3 linked regions of the Mytilus edulis genome follow. The protein of the gene in region 1 purifies or fractionates together with the protein of each later gene. This does not show direct contact. Links are inferred from orthologs where the notes say so. Each region holds a gene or a part of one and is shown on either strand. Other genes may lie near its edges.

What was found.
Region 2: the proteins of lysine-specific demethylase 5A-like (region 1) and MYND-type zinc finger-containing chromatin reader ZMYND8-like purify together in Homo sapiens (affinity purification with mass spectrometry; 3 studies listed by BioGRID and IntAct, with this or other methods). This does not show direct contact. The link is inferred for Mytilus edulis from reciprocal best matches to the Homo sapiens genes KDM5A and ZMYND8.
Region 3: the proteins of lysine-specific demethylase 5A-like (region 1) and PHD finger protein 12-like purify together in Homo sapiens (affinity purification with mass spectrometry; 3 studies listed by BioGRID and IntAct, with this or other methods). This does not show direct contact. The link is inferred for Mytilus edulis from reciprocal best matches to the Homo sapiens genes KDM5A and PHF12.

Annotation. Positions count from the first base shown.
Region 1 is NC_092344.1:46,177,227-46,185,139, forward strand, and holds the start of lysine-specific demethylase 5A-like, read left to right. Parts: upstream 1-4,884; 5' UTR 4,885-5,029; coding exon 5,030-5,182; intron 5,183-6,464; coding exon 6,465-6,542; intron 6,543-6,735; coding exon 6,736-6,795; intron 6,796-7,055; coding exon 7,056-7,118; intron 7,119-7,913. UniProt on the Homo sapiens protein: Histone demethylase that specifically demethylates 'Lys-4' of histone H3, thereby playing a central role in histone code. Does not demethylate histone H3 'Lys-9', H3 'Lys-27', H3 'Lys-36', H3 'Lys-79' or H4 'Lys-20'.
Region 2 is NC_092355.1:68,944,605-68,952,260, reverse strand, and holds the start of MYND-type zinc finger-containing chromatin reader ZMYND8-like, read right to left. Parts: upstream 3,081-7,656; 5' UTR 2,828-3,080; intron 1-2,827. Other genes in the region: translocating chain-associated membrane protein 1-like, read left to right, coding at 3,221-3,346, 4,254-4,317, 5,200-5,321, 5,853-5,969, 6,554-6,609, 6,937-7,021. UniProt on the Homo sapiens protein: Chromatin reader that recognizes dual histone modifications such as histone H3.1 dimethylated at 'Lys-36' and histone H4 acetylated at 'Lys-16' (H3.1K36me2-H4K16ac) and histone H3 methylated at 'Lys-4' and histone H4 acetylated at 'Lys-14' (H3K4me1-H3K14ac).
Region 3 is NC_092349.1:72,763,794-72,771,525, forward strand, and holds the start of PHD finger protein 12-like, read right to left. Parts: upstream 3,065-7,732; 5' UTR 2,673-3,064; coding exon 2,625-2,672; intron 1-2,624.

The sequences.
Region 1 (7,913 bases):
GTATCATTGGGCACCACCCAACTCATTGTTGCCAGGTTAAATGTGTCATGCAACAGTACTTGAACTTATTATACATAAGATGTAGTAAGAGGTCCAATGAGGCAACTATCAATACAAGTCACTAGCCTATTTTAAAAAGTATTGCCGAAACATTTTTCTGCAAAGTGTAGCGAGGCTAAAAATAATAAACGAAGGAATCATGCTTTCTGAGTGTTTCCCAGACCCTGTCTTAATCTGAAAGCTTGAATGTGTTCTGTTTCAAAATTGTTTATATTTTGGACTCAAAGCAAAATGTATAGAATCTGTGTAAGACTTTAGTTTCTAGGGACAACATCTAAAGAAAAATATTTAGGATAAAGCAAAAATGTAATTCACATAGTTCAGCATGTGGCCACTGGGTTTTCCTTTTTTTTTTGTGTGTGTGACTGTTTCAGCTTGCATAATTTTAATCTTTTATACCTGTAAATTATTAAAAAAAAATTCAAATAAGTCAAGAGGGGCTGAATATCATTGATATAACTATGTCAAGTAAGTTTTTATAACACATTTCAATTACAATTTGATGTAGCTCCTATAAACTTGGATACAATTTTTAGTAGTTGAAAAGTTGTAATTTTATATTAGCTATATAATATAAAACTAAAAGGTATGCAAAAAAGAATCCAGGATCAGGTGTTTAGTGTTTGTAAGCTCATGATTATGGGATTGACCCTTTCAGGATAAAGGAATTCTTTTTTCAAAATTTCATGATTATGATTTGTTTTGATTTTGGACTTCAGGATTTCATGTTTTTTAAGTCCAGGATTTGGGGATCACAACCCCTCCTACCCCCCCCCCCCCCCCCCCCCCCCCCCCCCCCCCTTTCCCTTCAATGCAGACATTTCAATTGTATCTAATTAATATTTATTCTTTTTTAAATAAAAGATATGGGAATTTTTTGCAGATTTTTTTTTTAAAAAGATGAATATTATAAATAATCTGGTGCCCTCTCAAAGTATCAAACTATGAATAGCATTTATGAAATGGCTTAAAAGACCTGCTGAGTTATTTATTTTCAATAGTAAAACATTGCAAGTCAGATTAGTTTTTACAAATTACCACAGAACAAACCATTTATTTTTGTGATCATCAAGGCAGCCCCATGTTAGGGGAGGGGGATTCTGCCAACATGTTTAACTCAACACATTATATATGTATTTGCCTGTCCCAAGTCAGGAGCCTGTAATTCAGTGGTTGTCGTTTGTTTGTGTTACATATTAGATTTTCATTCATTTTTTTATACAAATAATGTAAGGCCGTTAGTTTTCTTGTTTTGAATAATTTTACATTGTCATATAGGGGCCTTTTATAGGTGACTATGCAGTATGGGCTTTGCTCATTGTTGAAGGCTGTATGGTGACCTATAGTTGTTAATGTCTGTGTCATTTTGGTCTCTTTTGGATAGTTGTCTCATTGGCAATCAATTACCACATCTTCTTTTTTAGTTATTTATTTCACCCCCCACCATGAAATGGTTGTTCCCTTACACAACATATTTTCTGTTGAAGAACAAATAAATATACATTTATAAATATAATTTGTTCTTCTTCTTCTTCTTCTTTATAATTCAGCACTCCATCAACATACTGATGATAACGTGCCGGGCACTGATTTTACTATGCCGCGCGTGCGTGGGATATACATTTTATTTACAGTGAAAAATACAAAAATAAAAATAAAAATTTCAACATTTATAACTTCTTTTTCTTCTGTTTTTGTACTATACATTTTGGTTAAAACTATATACATTGTAGAATTTATTTAAATGTTAAGATGTTTATTGAGAACAGATATTGGAATCTGTTCTCGGAAGCTTTCAAGAGTAGTACATTGAACTGCAGCTACTGGGAGAAGGTTCCATTGCAAGATGGTTCTAGGGTAGAATGAATACTTGTATGAGTCTTTAGTGGTTTGTATGGGTCTGAAAGAGTAAATATGTGAATGTTGTCGTGTTCTTGTATCAGATTGTGTAAGTAGGTCTGTCGGATATATGGCAACAAGATGATGTATAATTTTGTAGAGGAAAATGATGCGGGTTCTAATTCGCCTTTTCTCAAGTGTTGCCCAATTTAGAGTTTGTAGCATTTCAGTGACTGAGCTGGTGTTATGGTATCTGTTGCAGGTGTACCTTGCTGCTCTGCGCTGGACCATCTCAAGTTGGTGTGTTTGAGATTTGGTGTGCGGGTCCCAGACGCAGCTGCTGTATTCTAGCTTTGGTCTTACTAGTGCAATGTATGCTTTTTCTTTGACTGTTTTTGAGTTGACTTTTAGATTCCTTTTAATAAAGTTCAGCTTTTGTGTGGCTGCAGCTGTGATATTGTTTACATGTTTGTTCCATTTGAGATCAGTTTGTATAGTTATTCCCAGATATTTTGTGGATGTTTCTTTTTGAAGTACATGTTGGTGGAGAGTATAGTCAAAATTTAATGGGTTTTTCTTAGTTGTTATCTGAAGGACTGAGCACTTGTCTGGATGGAATGACATGAGCCAGTCCTTCTCCCATTTTGCAGCTGATGTGAGATCTTCTTGCAGTTTTTGTGTGTCTTCTTTGTTTCGTATTGTTTTATAAATTATGCTATCATCTGCAAATAATCTGAGGGTACTGTGTTTGATGTATTCGTTAAAGTCGTTTATGTATACAAGGAAAAGGATCGGACCCAAAACTGTTCCTTGGGGAACACCAGATGTTACATTTATTTTGTCTGACTGAACACCATCAATGATCACTGTTTGTGTCCGAGATGTGAGAAAATCTTCTATCCATTTTAAGGTGTTGTCATCAATGCCATAATGTTTTAGTTTGTAGAGGAGTCTTTTGTGAGGAACTTTGTCAAAGGCTTTGGCAAAGTCCATCACAATTATGTCCGTTTGGATGTTACTGTTGTTATTTTTTGCTAGTTCTTGGATGAAGGATACTAGTTGGGTTTCGCATGATCTATTTGCTCGAAATCCGTGTTGAAGGTCGTACAAAATATTGTTATTTTCTAGGTGGTCCATCATACTACTGGCTATTATGTGTTCCATGATCTTACAAAGTATGCATGTGAGAGATATGGGTCTATAATTTATTGCGTTGTGTTTATCACCTTTTTTAAAAACAGGACAGACATTTGCATGTTTCCAATCTTTTGGGATTTTTCCTGTGTCGAGTGATTTTTGGAAGATGTAGGTGATTGCGGTTGAAATGTCACTACTAAGTTCTTTGAGTACTGTTCCGCAAATTTGATCTGGACCAGTTGCTTTGTTAGGATTGATCTTGTCCAGTAATTTTATGACACCTTTCTTAGAGATGGTGATCTTGTTCATTTTTGGATAGTTCGATTTTCCTTTATCCGGAATGGGTTCACTTGTTGTTTCTTCGGAAAATGCTTTTTGAAACTGACTATTTAGAATGTTAGTTTTGTCAGATGTATTGTCAGTAAGTTTACCATCTTTTCTAAGTGCAGCAATGCCTGTATTGTCATTTTTCATACTTTTTATGTATGTAAACAAGTTCTTAGGTTGTTTTTTCCTGATGTTGTCATCTGGTTCATCTACTGGTAGGTCAAATATCATTTTTTCAATGTTATTCCAGTAGGCATTACGCATTTCTTTTTGTAATGTTCTTTTTAAGTATTTGTATTTTTTCATTTGCTCTGGACTGTTTTTGCTCTTTTTATGTAGTCTTTTAACTTTGTTTATCATGATTTTTAATGTTTTATCAACCCAGGGTAGTTTTTTCTTGTTTGTGATTGTTTTCTGGGGGATGTTTTTCTTGACTGATTGAAGTAGTCTTTCTGTAAATGTATTCCATAGTTCGTCAGTAGATGAACTATGGTAATGACCTTTGATTTCTTGTGTGAGTTTGTTCACATCTTGTTTGATGTTTTCCAAGTTAGCTTTTCTGTACTGCAACATGTTTAATATTCTGCAAAACTGGAACACAATTTAAATATAATATCATTTATTTATATCTATTGGTATTTATAACAATAATATCAAACATATATCTGTATGAATATTTTTGGTGTCTCTGTTTATCTGTTTCATACTTGAGTTTCCCTAAAATTAAAAAGTGTCTCAATGACACTGCAGTCAAGAATGGAATGAATGAATATTACAAATACCTTCAAGACTATTTATTAGCGCTGAATTAACATTAACAGCCTTTCTACCCAGCTTTCTTGTCTGCTCTTCAATAATGGCATTTAAGGGGCTGATTATTATGCATTTGGTGTTATTCATTTTTCCAAGCATTTCAAAAATTAATGACTTCCCATAGCCAGTGGGTAGCATGATCAACGCATCACTTTTCATTGCACCTTGAATACTTTGCAATTGCAAAGGTTTCAAGTAGGTTAAATTAACGTTTCGCGTACAGTTGATCTTAGTTAAGGCAATTTTATGTATCAAGACATTCTTAAGTTTTTCTTTAAAATCTTTCACATCGTCTGCTGCCATATTGTTTATTGTTGTCATTTACAAATGCATGCCGGGAGAAAACACCGGCTTTCCTATTTTGATGACGTCAATATTTTTAAATTTAGAACAACCTCGATTTCAAATAAAAAGATGGCGTTATACCCTACCTGTCTTGATATATGAAATATGTAATATGCACATTGATCTAGACAGGCGAACCAGTCTACTCTAACCAATCAAAAATTTGTTTGATTAAATTCATACGCACTGACAAGTGTGAAAACATTGGAAATAAACATTTTGGAAAAAAATATTAATACATGTTTAATTTATGCTAGTCCCTTTAAAGTTTTTATTTTATATGCTAAATTATGGTTGTGGAAAAACATTCGTTCATTTTGGTACATTAAAAGATACTTTAATTAGAACTACATTGTACTTCCCATATTTAGAATAAGTATGTTCTTCGGCACCTCTCCACACATACTGGATTTTGTGTTTTAGGGATTCTACTACTATATTTTGGTCGCGTTATATTAGACCCTCTGGGTCGTTTTTGAATTGGAAGTGTCTGCCGTTGGCTTGCAGCATGGTTGACAATTCTTGTCCAAGCTTCAGGCGTCCTCCAGAGGCACCGGTATTTACTCCAACTGAGGAGGAGTTTGCCGATCCGTTGGGATACATCGCCAAAATAAGACCGATTGCAGAAAAAATTGGATTATGCAAAATTAAACCACCACCGGTCTGTTATTACTTTATAATATCATTTACTTTTCACTATTGTTGAATAATTTCTAATTGCCATTGTGTGTATTTCCCCTGAAAGTGTTGAATGAATTCTGCATGGTAATACGTGATCATACGTGCAAGTTATTTTCCCAAACATGGCGACGCCTTTTGTTCAGATCTGTCATACATTAGCACCAGCTATATAATAACTTAAAATTATAGTTATATGTTTGATAAAATGAATAGTCTATATGAAAAAAATACAACTCATGAAGTATGTGTTTACAAAATGTTTTTTAAACATGTTAAAAGTTTCTGAAAATAAAGTTATGAAACAAAGAGAAAAGCTGGGCCTCTTGTTTCTGTTTCCTACTTGAGGCCTTTTGCCTTATATGATGCAAAGGATGTACTAGTGTCTCGTAATTTAATGACTCTGTGTCTTTTATTATGATTATTAAGATTTCAACTTTTTAAAGAGTATTTTTGTATAAAAAATTCATATAATCACTACATAATTAGCAAATTTGTCTGTGTTTTACAATATAATTCTTTTTAGATTACTTCATATTATGATTAGATGAAGCATAAATAAAAAAAAAACAGTTTGTATTTTCACATTTCAATTTTACTCCAGGGTTAATCGTTTAATTAATTATAGGTTATAATTTCATATAGATTTTAGCAAAAAAAAAGGCAGAAATTTACAAGTATAATGATTTTAAAGTGTTATTTATCAAGTTAATTGTCTTTTTTTCTTATACATTCATATAAAAACACTAGGTGAAATAAATTAATGAGAAAAGAAAATCCTGGATGCAATTTAAAGATTGTTCATAACCTTTGACTGTTGACTTATTTACATCTGATCTACATGTCTTACTACAGATTTTATCTAAATATCATTTTCAAAGGCTGAAATTGAAAAAAGATGGTTGCTGTCAGCTCTAAACACTCATCTTATACTTTCCATATATTTTTGTGAGACAAAAATAAAAAAGTTGCAGGTCAAGCAAGATCTTGCAGTTTTACTCAAAAAATAATTTTGTTGAGAAAAAGAGGTTGCGAATGATTATTTTTTATTGAATTTCATCTCATTATGAATAAAATGATGAAAAATGTTAGATATGATATACTGTAAAATTCCCTATGAAGAAGGAACTACATAAAATATTTCAACCAATATGGCTGCCAAGCCAGAGACTAAAGGTAGCCATTATCAGCTTGTAAGAAAAATATTAAATATTTCTAATATATCAAATAGGTGTATTCTAATGTCCATTCTTTCGTTCATTTAGGACTGGCAACCACCTTTTGCTGTTGATGTCGAGAAATTCACATTCACTCCCAGAATACAAAGATTAAATGAACTTGATGTAAGTATATTGGGGCTCAAAATGGGCAACACTTTATAATCTTATACTTCTTGTTGCTTATTTTCGTTTATAAACTGTTTTAATGAAAAAAATAAATGAAAAATTTACAGTAACTTGATTTATTGTTAATTTATGTGAATTTTATATTCTTTTATTGATTCTATATAATAATGATTATATTTATCCTTTTCAGGCCACTTCTCGAATGAAGCTGAACTTTTTGGACCAGCTTGCAAAGTTCTGGGAGCTACAGGTAAGAATGATTCTCTTATTATTTAATTCATTATAATCTTAAATGTTGATTTTGAAGGATTTGTTAATCAACAATTTGAAATAAGAAAGAAGGTTCCCCCTTTTTTTCACAACATGTTAGCACTGTGCCAGATCTTACTTTATTTCCTTTTTCATCAGACATTGCATTGTTTTAGAAATTGTGTGAAATAAGGGACTGACTTAAAGTGTACATTGTAAATATATGCTATTATTGATCATAGAAGATTGTTTTTTTTGCAGGGTTGTTCTTTAAAAATACCTCATGTGGATAGGAAACTTGTGGATTTATATACATTATATAAGGTAAGACATACTTTTTATCTATTTTCTTCTTGTTACTTCACTATAAACATCAATCTTTTCATTGATGTCCATGTTTTCATGAATGGAGAGATCACATGATCAAAATAAGACTTTTGACCCCAGTATGTTATGAAACATATGTTTTGAATTTTCAACCCCAAAAAATGGCTGACACCAAGATAAATATAGTGTTGTGTAAACCCCCAAAAAACAAAACTTCAACATAGGGCCGGTATTGAAGCTGTAAATATACATTAAGGCAATGCCTGATCTGATTCCGTTGCTGGATAATACTATATATAAGGGTTTGTAGATCAAATAAAGAAAAAGAAATTTGCCAACCTTCCCTGACCGGTTCTGGCCCTACTTTTTATCAGAAGGTTTCAGTTAACAAACATGGGATTTTTCTTATGGTCCAGGGGGCCTCTGTGGCCAAGTGGTGTAAGAAGTTGTACTATTGTAATCACTAGACAGCCAACACTGAGGTTGTGAGTACAAACCCCGCTCATGCAGGTGTGCTCAACTCCAATCTTAATTGATAAGGATTGTCAGTTTTCCTATCAAAGAGGTCATCAAAGGTCAGTGGTTTTCTCTGGGCAAACCTGGCTTCCTCCAACAATAAAAAGTGGCCGCCATGAAATACCCCAAAAGTGGGGTTAAAACACCAAATATCAATCAATCTTTTGACCCATGTGATAGTTTAAACAATTGTTAAATTATTGCATACATGGATCTTTTAGGCAAATTTAAGTCGCCATTATCTTAATATTTTGAATTCAATCTGTAAAAATTTGC
Region 2 (7,656 bases), on another chromosome or scaffold:
CAGAAGTTACAAGTAAAGTTGACAACTTAAAAGGCAGTTCTTTAAACTGAAAGAACTAAAGTTATTGAAACATTGCCAGTCAACCTTTTACAATGGTAAGTTTAAATTTTCTTGTTCTGTGAAAATCTTGTTTTGTTGAATGTTTTCTATTTAGTATCCCAGAAAATCTATTGTTTTACAGTACGTTCTAAGCTAAGGAGACTAATGGTTTGTCTGACTGAAAAAGAAATTTAAACCTTTCTATTATGTTATCAACGGAAAAATATAAAAAATCCTGTCTGTCTGAATAATGTTTTGTCTGACAAGATTCATTTCTGTTTAAATTAAATAAACTGGGGTCAGTTTTTACATTCTCAGTCATATCTCTACTGAGGTTATTGTAAAGAGAGCATTCCAGAAGAAAGTGCATTTCATTTTCAATAGAATTTGAATTACAATATAAACATCCTCTCATGCTGAGGTAATATTTCATATTTACCACATACATAGATAAATCGTTCATGTCTGCCAGTTTCTATTCTTAAGGTGGTACCCAACACTTTCACTAAAATTAATTTGTCTCGTTTAATTTTAATAAAATTTTGACAAAGTATTTACTTTAACCCTTTAACAAAAATATAAAAATTTCAAAAAATTTTAACCAACCGTTTTGTCAGAAAAATTACACTGGTTATAATTAGCAGTTTGACAAATGTTGTGAATGTGACTTTGTCTTCATGTCCGTAATGTCACAAAACAGTGTTAATGTTGTTTCCCGTATTATTGACGTTGTATGATAGTGACGTGGGAGAGAGAGATGTGTTGCCGGATAGACAAGATGGCTGAATGTTTGTACTGTCAGAGTGTATGCCGTGTATTTTGTATTTTATGTAACGTCTGTATATACATATAGTGTGAATAAATCGTGACTGTTATTTTCTACAAAGATGGTGTTAAGTTATAAATTTATGAACGCTCGGAATTCTACGTTTACAACAACAAACACCAATTTTGATCATTGAGAAGCTTAATATTCCCTTTACAACACAAAGTAATTAAAACGTTCAGCTGACTCTACAGAGTTATCTCCCTGTAGTGTTAGGTACCACCTTAAACAGTGATTGCTGAGTCTGTATTTTGTTAACAGATGTTTTTGACCAAACCTCTTAAGATTACATGTACATATTGATGCCTCAAGTTGAGGCAGGTGTGATATAAAAAAAGCCCTATGATGTTCTCTATAATCGTGATTATACTTGACAGCAAATAACACACAAGTATCTGACAATTCCAGTTTTTTTTGTTGGGTTGATGTTTCTCAATCCTTAGGAATGCTTAGTTTGGAGTTGCATTATTGTATTGACTGTCCAGACCATTTTTGCATTGTCTTTTTTTTTTTTTTTTTTGTGTTCTAATTTGAATTTGGTTGTACCAAGGATTTGTATAGTAAGAAATAGTATACAAATCCTTGGTTGTACCGTTGTTTTTAAACAATAATTTTAAAATTTGGGGTGATTAAAAGAAGAGAATTTTTATTGAAGGAGATTTTTAAACTCCAAAGTAGAAGATGTTGATGATCCAATCAAAATTTGCTATGTGAAATGTGCAATTAAGTAAAATAAATGTAAATGTCAATGAAAACCTAATACATGTAATTTTATGTAGAAAGAAAAGTTGCTAGGCATAGGCGGATCCAGGGGGGGGCTGGGGGGCCCCGGCCCCTCCTTTCGTGGGAAAAATTTGGTTGATTATATAGGGAATCATTGAAGCATGACTGGAGCGGGCCCCCTTAGGAAAAGTTCTGGATCCGCCACTGCTAAGAGTGATTGTTTTTTTTTTATTGTAAGTTGTTTAAAGGTATTGTTATGTGAATAAGTGTTCAGCATGTTGAGATCTGCCATAATATGGAAATTCAAAAGGGACCATCTAACATGTCTTCCCATATGGAGCTAAAAATTTCCTTCAGTTTAAATTATATTCCTTTTATCACATTTAGATAAAACTATCTAGATACATGTACATTTGATAACAAGAAAAGTTAGGTATACAGACAATTGGGATGAGAGCAGATTCCAAGATAATACTCTTGATTATCACCTCTGTACTGATTCTATATGTTGTGGCAGATGATTACAGTCTTTAACTATAAGTGGATAAAATAAATATTTCTTAGATGCATGATTTTTTTATTAGTTGTTAATGGCTTTGAACTTGCTGTCAGATAACTGTAAGTACTCTCAGATATGTTCCTAGTGTCTTTTTGTTGTCGGGATGTACAGGTGTAAATGCTCTTTTGTTTAGACGTTGGAAAGTTCCGGGTGGAAAGAACTAAATAGCCGAAAAAAGTCCAGAGGAACTTATCAACTATAGTTACTTTTTGTTTTTACTCTGGTTTAAAAGTTCCACCAGTTCTGCACAGAAATCTACTTCTGTTTCCAGTCATGTTTGCAGGAGACTTTGAATAAAATGTATATTTATCAGTCTAAGAAAGGAGCTCAATACTAATTCATTTTTAAAAATTGTTTGTTATATAAAAAAATCCTTACAGTAATTGATGACAGTGTTTCTTTGTTTACATTGAATATGACGTCATAACTTAAATAACGTCATAACTCAAATCCCTAACAACAGTACCAAAATCGGAAACGTTACAGTATTTCCGTTTCTCTTTTAAACATGTTTGATTAAAAAAAAAATCATACAGACCGTCCCATTCACAGGTAATGCCTACCTCATATTAGTAGTCTTAGTGTCATGTCGTAAATATGTTTATATTGTTTAAGTTTGATTGCAGGTTTAGGCCTAAATGTTTTAAAGAGTCAACTTTTTCTATAAATCTTTACTTTACTCTACTTTTATACTTTCAATTTCATGTTTTATTTTTTTACTTTGGCTTTGAATTTTCTCTCTCTGAGTCTTTTCCTTTCACAAAGTGACTTGATATGCAATGTCTATGGTTCAGTGCAACAAACTTCAAGCCCCACTTTGATTTGAAAACCATATGACTCTACTTTTAACAGAAAACATGTTTTTTTAAATCTTTCATAGGCAGCCTCAGGCAAGGATTACAGCACAGACAATCTAAAATTTGACCTTAATCTAAAAAAATAATTATCCAATCAAATAAGAGCTTTCAAAGAAATCAACGCAGACTGGTGCATCTTGGGAAGAGACTACTACTTCCTTTTACACGCAATTTGCGGTCGTACGCCACATCGACGATTTTCAAACAAGGATAATCATGGGAATGAGACGTCCAAGAACAACAAAGAATCCTCCGATTCTAAGCCATGAATTTGTGATACAAAACCATGCAGACATTGTCTCCTGCATCGCCATGGTGTTTGTGGTTGGTCTCATGTTTCAGGTGAGATGGCCATATGGTACCGGTCAGGTGCCGGGTACTTTCTTTACTGCCAATACTGGCTTAATTTAACTTATTTGTATTATATAAATATGAAATATAACAGCATGTTTCTTTTCAATTTAAAATTAAGAGAAAGCCGACTATTTCGTCGTAAAACTGATGAAATTTTCGAAGCATCTGTCAGTGTCAAACGAAAATAACATCTGACACTTTCAAAAATTCGATAGCTACATGTATACTATAGTCTATGGATCATACTCAGATAAATTTACACTGCAAAATAAACAATAGCATTTTTTTTTTTTTTTTGTTATTAAATGCTAGTCAGATTTAAGATGTTTAATTATAAAAACATGATTGCCAATATGAAACAATGCCTTTTCAGGCTTTTGTCAACGGTCAACAGGGTGTCAAACTGAAGAAACATTTACTGCTTTTTGTATATAAAAGACTTGTTGGAGTGGTTTATTTAATTAGCATGTCTAGAGAATACTTACATTTATTTCATAATTATAGATAGAGAACCCACCTTTTTTATTACATTATTTCAAAACTAAAAATATTTTTTGCTATGTGAAAACATAGCAGCTGTTTGGCCAATTCAGAAAATGCAGAATTTCATTCAAAATTTTTTTTGAGGTATAAAAAGGCTTAAAGTAGACCACAACAATAAATACATATGGACCTTGAACATAGTTTGAAATAAATCAATATCTGATCATGCTGATTGTAAAAAATCAATCCTTTTCAAAAGTACAAAAATGTACTGTTTTAGTGTTTACAACTGGCCAAAGTAAAAAAAAATACACTTGTTCAATAAGAAATTTGTGTATATATATTTATGCAGAAGTTAGACAAAAATAGACAGCTTTTATTGTGTATAATGAATTTATATATTTTATTACAGGCCACTTCTCCAGTAGCTTCACTGTTTGTTGCTTTACAACACAATGTATCCTCAACAGTTAATGGTGAGTGTAAAACAACTTTACATGTTAATATAAACATCGTTTAAGGGGTACCCGACACTTTGATTTAAATATTAATTAAAATTTATTTGATTTACTATGCCATGAGCATTAACGACAAAAGGGATCACTCTATTCCTCAACTAGGTGATTTTATAAGGACATTCTTATTCAAGGTTCAACATTCCAAATTTGACAGTTACTTGAAATAATTTCATTATTAAGGGGCAGGTCAATTGAAGAATTTCCCTTTGAACACACATTCTTATTTCTGTTCTAGTTTAAATAGGTTAAAACCAAGGGTATTTATTTCATTGTTAAATAGTTTGCTCTTCTTTTTTTCACTCTGCATTCTTTTTAGTCAAAAGTGAAATACTGTTACCCTCGGTCTTCTTTTTCTTTATACTTCAGCATTGAGCAATCAGGTTCACATTTTCAAATAATTTTTTATGTTATGCGTCTTCTGATTGACTGACGTTGTTTTGTTTATCCACTCAAAAACCAAATTTTCTTATGTGACCGTGACGTCATCAACATGTTTTCATGGTTTACTCCTGTTTAAAATGGAATTTAGAATTAAATTATAATAAATGAGTGGAATTTTTTTTCTGTCTTTTCGAAATAACATTAAAAATGGGGTGCACATTTTGAATTAATGTGCTAAGCACCTCATTTTTTATGTTATTTCTTCATAGACAGAAAAAATATTACATTCATTCCTTAAATAAAAATGCCTCTGTCATCACTTCAAATACACCCCAATAAAATTTGAAAAAAAGCATTTCATTCTTAAGTCCAAATGAATGTTAGCAGTTGGAAAAAGTAATAAGATCATGAAATTAAACCTGAGTTTTGTTTTTAAATATTGATGTCTTATTTTTATAGTGTCTGAAGCAGAGGACCTGCCCATAATGTATACTAATGGAGCTAAGGACATCTCCTGTGTGTTTTTCTACACCTTGATCTGCATTGTTATCCATGCTGTGGTCCAAGAGTATGTTCTAGATGTAAGTAGATAGATGTTTGTTCAATATATTTTGTCTTAAAAAAAGACAACAGTTGTATAAGGGTGTTCAAAAGTCATAAATTGATTTAGAGAAAACGAATCTGGATTACAATCTTAAACTCAGGAAAACACATAAACTATAGAAGGAAAACAAAGTAACAACATGAACACTGAAGTGCAACAAAAACATGCCAACATACATAGACTTGGTACAGGACATTTTAAGAAAAAATGTTGTGGTGAACCCAGTTGAACAGCTAGGCAAACTTCTTGCTTTATGACAAAAGTTAAAAATATCGCTAAAATAAAAACATGACATGACATATAAAGCACAAAGAACATTTATCACAGAGAAAAGCATAATTAAATAATATAAAAGTTGACACAACATGCACACCGCAGAACAACAATGAACATGTAATCTTGATTTCAATACAATGTAAAGTACATATATAGTTAACAAATGGTATTCTAAATCTTGGTTAAAAAAGTGGGATGTATGCAATATACATGTATATTTGTATTGTTTCAGAAACTTAACAAGAAGATGCATCTGTCCAAGATAAAGCACAGCAAGTTTAATGAGTCTGGACAATTATTATTTTTCTACTTTGTATCAGCAGCCTGGGGAGCAGATCTGATTGTCCGAGTAAGTGGAAGATTTTAGTGTATTTTTAAATTTATACCATGTAAAGGATTCTGCTAATTGCACATGAACAGATTCCCAATAATTAAATTTTTGTATGTACCAATTTATTGATTCCTGAAAAATTGTATTTGAAGTTCTGTCATTAACCTATTTCACATCTAAGTTCTCTTACATGTTTTGCATTGATGTTATTAAACCTTTCGCCAAAATTCACACAGCTGACAATGTGTCCCAGTTTACTGGGAATCAGAATACTTTTTCCTGCTAAAAAACATTGCAAACACAAGTTATCTTTCTTTGTTTAAAGTCAAATGAAAGTGTAAACATGGCGTCTTCTGTTTGTTGAAAAACGGGTCCAAAATCAGATGACTTTTACAGAAAAAACTGCATACAAATATATAAAATAAGATATCAGAATGCAAGTTTAAAGTTATTTTGATTGTCATACTAATTAACCTATTCACATTTTAAGCATCAATAGAAACCTGGCAATAATAATTTCTGAATTTACAGTACATGTTTGTTTTTACTTAACCTTTCCGTTTAGTTGACACCTAAATATGAATTTATTATGTTTATTTCAGGAGAATTTTCTGAACATCAATTCCTTATGGGAAGGTTATCCACATGCAAACTTAGGGTATGTGTTTTAAAGTCAAAGAAAGCTATTAAAGATAGTATATTATGAAATTATCTAAACCAAGTAGAGAATTTCTTTTCTGTGTACAAGTTCCATGTTATTTTATAGCATATTTCCATTCAATTGTATAAAGAAAAATTACAAGTAATATTAAATGGTGGAATTTTTTTTAAAAGTTTTACGAACATATTGATATTTTAAAATTTTATGTGATACTTGTAGTAAAACCGTCATATTTCAGACATTCAACATATTAATGTGAAGTAAAGCAGACAAGATGTTCTGAATGTACACTCTTGTTTTTATACTGCTCTTATATTCTTTCAGATTTGTGAACAAGTTTTACTTCATCATTCAATTAGCCTACTGGTTACATAGCTTCCCTGAACTCTACTTCCAGAAAACTAAAAAGGTAAAATACATAATTCAGATTTTGACACTCTTTATGCACACTCATGTATAAACCACAGGTTACTGAAATTTAAACTCAACAACACAAATAATGCACCATTTCTTATTTACTGTAGTTCCACAATTTGTTTTTGTTTGAAATTTACAAAACTTAATAGTTATCCACATTTTGCAGAGAAAATAACATGTGAGTAGTGACAATGTAGATTTCATCCACAAAAGTCTGATATTTGTCAATTTCAAAAAGTTTATTTATTAGATGGTTTCATTTCTGAAGTGACAAATTGTATGGATCTTCCTACTTACAAACTTGCTTATATAGCTGTTAAGAGTAAAAAGGCCACTTTGCTCATTGTTGAAGGTTTTACGGTGACCTATAGTTGTTTTAAATGTCTGTGTCATTCTGGTCTCTTGTGGACAGTTGTCTCATTGGCAATTATACCACATCTTCTTTTATACATATTTGGCAATGTTGATTTGACATTTACATATTAGCAATAATGATAGATTTTTCATCCAGTTAGATCACTTTGATGTGAGCATGTTTTATAGATCTCTCTTGATCTCTTGGTATAGATTACTAACTTTACTAGAATTTGAATTTCAGTTAGTTTTTGAGTTGAGATTTTATATAAA
Region 3 (7,732 bases), on another chromosome or scaffold:
CCCATGTTTTAATCCACTACGATAATACAAAATAGTGTGTACAAGTTCCAAAAATAGATCTGTCAGTTACACAGTACGCTATTTTAAAAGTTCAACGTAAACTTATAAACAGGCATGCATTTCTAAACTACGGTAATATTGAATAAATTCATTCGAAAATTTAACAAATTATTAGATGAGGTCACATTACTGATAAACGCTATTTATAGATTATGGAGACAATAAGAAACACATGTATGTTACTATAGTCTGTTTCAACAAAATTCAGGTAAAGGTCAATGAAGGTACGAAATTCGTTTCTCTAGTTGACGCCCTCCTTTCGGAAATTGTCATCACCCCCAGGGCGTTTATTAGAATAAATACGGTATATAAAAATAGACAAATCAATAATTACTGACCTTAAAATGTTGTTTACGCAAATAATTTTGTGAAACGAAACCTGTGTTTAAAACCCATTACACAAAAAGTTTGTTTCTCGTAGAAAAAATGGAAAATGGACTTGTCCAAACAAATGTCACGTTAAAGTACTTTAATGAAAACAAATTATATTTCTTGTTTCATAGATGATTAAAAAAAAATTCGTCCAATTGGATATAAAAAAAATGGGAAAGCATGACTACTGATGATCCCCGCCATGCTCGTTTTTCCAGTGGACGAGTCTATTGTGTTCTTGACACGAATGTTGAAACTTATTTTTGTACGACGTTTTTGCAATGTTTTCTTTTTCAGTTTTCGTGCCTGATTTTCAATATTCACTAAGTGTCCTGAAATTGATTAAGACCTACGCGGATACGTTATTTTTCTTGTTAAATAAATGACGATTTAATTTCGTCTTTGTCCATGGACACAATTTTAATTAACCACCCCCCCCCCTTGTTCATTGTTGTTGAAAATAATTATATGAAGTCATGTGATGTTTATGACAGCTGAGCAATAGTATTTCATTAAACTAAAATTTAGGAAATGATTACAAAATAACATACCAAACATATTGTTATAAAGGTAAAAGATATTTTTTTGCATATTTTTCTCTTGAAAGATTTTTTTCTCTATTTTTTTCAACCGACCAACCTGACTTTTACATGGGAAAAATCTGTAAACCAACAAATTGAAAAAAAACCTGGCCTGATGACACAAGCTTCCACAATAAATTAAAGTGCACAGGTAAATAAAAGAAAAAGTTGATAGAAATCATGTATGCATGATCCTGGAAATTTATGTAATTTTAAGTATAAAATTAAATGCTGCTTATTAATAATTTTATAGGGTTGTAAAAATGAGAAAATGTTCATTTTGTCCACTTAGGTCAACAATGCTACATCCCAATAAATTTACATAAAGAGGCATTCAATTCTTAAACAAGGAAAAATGTTGTTTTCAATGTGAAAAAAATCAGAATATTTTCATTTGCATGGTGTTAGTTTTAAGAAAGAAGTACTAGAAGTTAGAGAAAATACTGGATACATGTACATTTTTTTCTCTCCAATAATACATGTGTGTATATGACCATTCTACAAAGTCAATGATTTCCTAAAATTTCTAAATAAATAAATTTATTAGGTCTTTATTATATTTCTTTTTTATAATTGGATAGTTAGAGTTACACCCCTTTTTTTGACATTTTAAATTGTATTGGTATAAAAGTGTGTTCATAAAAAATATAGATAAATATAACTTATCCTTCGGATATTGGTTTCAAAATATCAAAAGATACATGTCTCTTTGACACATTCCCCATTTCCATTCTCAATTTTACATGTTACATTTGTACATTTTTTTGTAACCTGATAAAAATAGTAATAATACATTGCAAGCTAGAGATAATATCTTAGCAATTTCTATTAACCTTAAAAAAGGTCAAGTTTCTTTCCCACAACTTTAATTTAATGTCTAGCATTTGGGCAACCATATCTAACTGGAAAGCTGTGCACACAAATATGCAGTGAGTCGTTACCATAAAAAGTGTATAAAATGTTGTCGTGCATGAAAACATCTGATGTGATTTAAAGAAAGGGACATGCACACAAGATTATAAACACAAATTGCTCTCCATATTTAAAAGAAAGTTTCAAAAAGGTTGACAAAAATCACAACTTCAGCTTGCTAAGAATATGGCACATTTTTTTTTAGAACGAGTTGATGTGTACCCCTACAAATGTCACTTTTAAAATGCAGAATACTTGCCTTTTAATATATAGCAAAATGAAACAATAAAACAGAAATTAAACACATCATGCAGAGGCTATATGTATGGTCAGATCATTTGTTTTCGTGAGTCATATGAATTAGTTCTATGCATGCTTTTTCAATTGAAATTTGACATCATAATGCATATTTAATAGAGAGAAAACCCATGAAACAAGGATATAATTTTGCTTGGTGCTTGCATACATGTGTACAATATTTGTGTATACAGCCTTAACATGTTCAAGTTAACTTATGACAACAGGTCTGTATATAAAACAATGTCACTTATTGTTTAGTTTAATTGGAGATAAAAACTAATAATAATATGGAATTATTAGATTAGTGTCGGCCATGTTTGCATCTGGCAGCCATGATGAATTTCCAGCTTTTAAACTAATTTTGTAATATTTCTGATGAAATTTCTAGCAGTAACAAACCTCCATCAGTCCACCAGATGTGTCCAGATCGTATTCAACAGCTGCCATTTTACAATAATGAATGAATACTTAAACAATTATCAGTACGGTTATCTTTATGTCATCAAAAACCAATTATTTCCATTATGTCCCAAAGAAATGGGAAAAAGTTAACTTCGGTTGCCATGCGAAAAATTGAAGATTGTCATATAAAGGAGTTATGGTTTTTCATAAAAATACATTCATTATGAAGCTAAATTCCACAGCTGGTGGTTGCTACTCAGTTATATGTTGCAAACTTAAACCCTTAGCAGAAATTCGTCTTCATTTCAAATTCGCTAGCCTGTAGCCGTCTTCTTGGCGCAATATGTCGGCCATTTATAATACGCATGCGTATAAGTCTGGATTTCTTCAATGCGTTTGCGCATTTGGTAGTATCCGAACAGCGGAAGTTTATAAGGTGAAGGTCATAATTAACGCGGGTAAATTTATTATCTCCCATTTCACATTCAATTAAAATATTTCAGAGGGGGGATAGGACCTTTATCGGGACTCCGGGATCGGGTGTTTTTAAGATCGGGATTTCGGGATTGACCCTTTCGGGATCCGGGAATTTTTTTTTCGAATTTCGGGACCTCGGGATTTCGTGTTTTTAAGCTCGGGATTTCGGGATTTCGTATTTTTAAGCCCGGGAATTCGGGATCAGGACCCCTCCTACCCTCCCTCATTTCAAGGTTTTGTGTAAAACAGATATGTATTAAATACATTACACGATAAATGACTTTCCATTTCATCTGTTCGTTTATCAAATAGTAAAGCATTATAGAATAGTGTTTATTTACTATAGAGTGAAGATGTTTCGTTTTAAATGGGAAAATCTGTATAATTCCAATTAAGGTAACAGGTATACGTAAATGGCTTGTCCTGCGATTTAAAAAAACAATTGTATGAATGTAGTAGAGTGATTTTTATGATCATTTTATATATTGTAAAAATCATCTATTTAATTACTATATTTATTATAAAAGCTTTATTACATATTTTGAATATTGTATATTCAGTTTAAATTATTACTTGCAAACCTTATTTTTATGTATAGTAATATTCACGTTATTTTATGAATATTGATTAGGGATTTACTTAAATCATTGTATCTGATTGGCTGTTTATATTTCGCGGTCAAGTTTAATTTCCTTTGTTTTGTACCTGTACATTTCCACGGGACGATAGCCATGACAGTCCATTGAATTTATGTCTGTTTATCTTGACCACATAGTTTACTTGTAAACCTTATATATTTTGGACAACATTATTATAGAATACTGTAAGTTACTTCTTTATTAACATTATTTATATTTTTCACGTAAATGATATTTTAGTAAAGTTTCTATTTTGCTTTGTAACGTTCTCCTCATATCGCATGTATGTAACACAAGTACACGAGATGTACATGATAGTATTTTATTAAGCTAGAAGTATATGATTTTATAAGCTACGGTTTATTTGCCACGGTAGAATTGTATTGTTAATTTGCGTACATTACTATTTGATTATTGTCAGGAATAGTCTATATTTTATAAATGGCGGCTTATTAAGTGAAAGACGGAAAAGTGTTTCCATTTATATAAAGTTATAGTTTTGTAGTAAATAGTTTTTATCAAGTACAAATATGAATGCGTAAAGAATATTTTGTACATTGTATATTTTTATAATTAGAGTCCGAGTATTTATGTTCGTATTTTGGTTTCAGGACTCCATGTAATGTAATTATGTAGAACACATGATTGTGATGTGTACATGATGTGCCGTTAACCTTATCAGTAGTACAACTCACTCCACAAGTGGTAAGAGTATATTTATTTATAGTTTAACTTTGTTTATATTGTATTGTAAACATGAATTACCTCCCGTTAATTTGGAGCTTTTAATGAATCGATAATATTGACATCATAAGTCTTTATGATTATTATATTTGCAACTTTATGATTGTTGTATGATATTATGTAGTTAATTATTATACGTATTATATATTTTAATGAAGTCATTATTAATAAATGTAGATGTAACATTTATTATATACCGTTTGTTAGGTAAACCAGTATTTAATACAAATACACAGATACACGTAAATTACATATTACTCTCCGATTTAGTGTAAAGTCAAAGGTCAAGCGTTTGTAAAAGTACACGTGACACCCGATGATATTTTATAGAATGTAAACATTGAACAGTTTCTACTTGCAATACATTTTACTTGCTACTTAGTTAATAACAGTTAAAGGTATTATTTACTATATTTCTGTATTATAGCCTGTGATATTCGTAAAAGAATTATATTTATGTTATATGAAATAGCTTGTTATTTATATATGTTGTATTGCTATTTCAGACTTGTATTTACATACTGGTACAATAAAGAATCAGAACCCTAAGCTCTTGTTGGTGTTACTCTTTAGCATAGAAAACCACCTACTACAAATGGCGCCCACGTATCGTTGGGTTGATGGTACATACCAGTTTTTGTGGAGATCCAGATGTGATGTCAGTGACCACCATTAGATGTCTCGAGTCCATGTATACAGTGACCATGTGTGTTTGTTTACTCCCGTTATGGTACCATGTGATGAACTTTACCACGTGCTTATGTTTACTAACATTCCGACCCATGTGATCATCGTCCACGTGCGTTTGTTTACAGTTTACCGGATGACATTATAGTACCGGATGTTACTTTTAGTAACTTGACTTTTTGTTTTTCACTTTTGGAAAACTGAACTTGTATTATTCTACATTGTGAAATATTGTGATTTAATTATACTTTTGTGGAACAGTGTAATTATTGGAATAGTTTTCTAGTTTAAGGTAGGACATATTTATTTACATTATATACTGTATACCACTTTGATACATTGAAACTTAGCATACACTTGAAACATTTACACACTTAGAATTTATTTTTGAAAATTTTGCATCCACTTTTTGGACTTTAATTTTTTTTTGACGTCCTACATTTTGACCTTTTCATACTTTAACATTTATACATTTAAAAAATTTTTTTTTTTATTTTTTTTTTTCCAAGGCTTACTTGGATACGGACTTAGTCTGTCAGTGGACATGTACACTTATACTATTTAGGCATTCATTGATGGTGTACATGTATTACTGATAGTGATAAACATACTTTGTAGATTACAGTAGCATAGCTACATAGTATATAGCATACACTTTTATATTTTAAATTTATTTTTCGGTATACAGTTGTAGTGTATTGTACTTACATTGAACTATAACCCACATGGTATAGGTTAATGCTCAGTTGAACTTAGCAATTATAACACACATTATGTTTTATGTGTAGCATTGCTAGTTGGTATTAGATACACAGTATATATATCGTTTTATAAATGTACTTTGTTTAGTGACTTGGTACTTAAGTTGATATGAATTAAAATTTATTATCATATTTTTTTTTATATATTAGACATTCACTGAGTTAGATAGTATCTAGATTTTGAGATTGAAGATAGACATTGTTGATTATTTTTTAATATTGATTAAAAATTTCCATTTGATCATTTAGAGTGGTGGTGTTGACACTTATTAGATTTTTGCATTAATATTGAACTTGAATTAGGGTGAATGAATTAAATGTTTATAGGTACACTAGTCTACACCGTTAGCCATGTATAAACAACCGAATGAGCCATGTTACAACGTCATGTATGACCAACCCTACACTACTTACGACACTTATAATCCACAGTACTATCCACCACGCAGAAAACGTCGCCGTCACAGAAGACGCAACAGACAACGTCCATACTGGGACCAGATAGAAGCTGAATACCAACCTGCTCCTACTCCGACTTATGTATCTCAACCATCCAGAGAACCTGTTATATGCTACAGATGTGGACAACCAGGCCACTATGCCTTTGCCTGCTGTGTTAGATTGGATCACACCAGAAAAGCCTGCAACTTTCAGCAGATGAACACTGAAGCTAAGATGTACCAACAACGACAGTCATCAGGTGATACAGAAGGATTACTTGGTAGCCCCAATGAAGTCACAGTAGTCATCAATGGACTTCAAGCATCAGCACTACTAGATACTGGTTCTACAGTTAGTACAGTTAGTCAGTCATTCCATCGACAGTACCTTGCTGATAGTCCTATCCAGACACTCAACCAGATACTCAACATCGAGTGTGCAGATGGTCAGAATATGCCATACCTTGGTTACATCTCAGCAGATCTACAATTACCAGGTACATCTACATCAGCAGATCCTCAGCAATGCTTACTGTTAGTCGTTCCAGACAGTTCTTACAACCAGCTTGTACCACTTCTACTGGGAACCAACGTTTTGACAGCAGCAATGACTGATGTAAAGCAACGATATGGATCACGTTTTTTACAAACAGCAGATCTACATACACCTTGGTATATTACGTTTAGATGTTTGCTTCTTAGAGATAAAGAACTGCAGAAGAGATGCAACAGACTTGCCATTATTAAGAGTGCTGAAGGAAAGACAATCCGTATACCACCTAACAAAGATGTCGTTCTACAGGGATACATGGACCATGAACTACCATACCATCCAGTTTGTGGACTCCTACAGTCAACTGATAGAGCAGCAATACCATCAGACTTAGATATAGCTCCAACACTAGTATCATATCAGTATAGAAACAACAGCATCATACCAGTACACATCAGCAATGTAACTACCAGAACAGTGACCGTTTCGCCAAATGCCATCCTTTGCGAACTTCAACCTGTTTCAGTCACCGACATTGATGTACCAGACACCTACGAACAAGATGCATGGAATGAATCTACATTTCCAGATACACTTACTGATGATCAACTACGTAAAGCCAGAGAACTACTTCATCAATTCAGAGATGTATTCAGCACTTCAGATACTGATATAGGCCACATCACCGCCGTACAGCATAAGATAGAACTGATAGATGAAACACCATTCAAACAACGACACCGGCGTATTCCACCTGCCTTATTCGACGAAGTTAGAACTCACCTTCAACAACTTCTTACTGCTGGGATCATTCGTCGTTCGCATTCGCCTTGGTCATCGAATGTTGTATTGGTTAGGAAGAAAG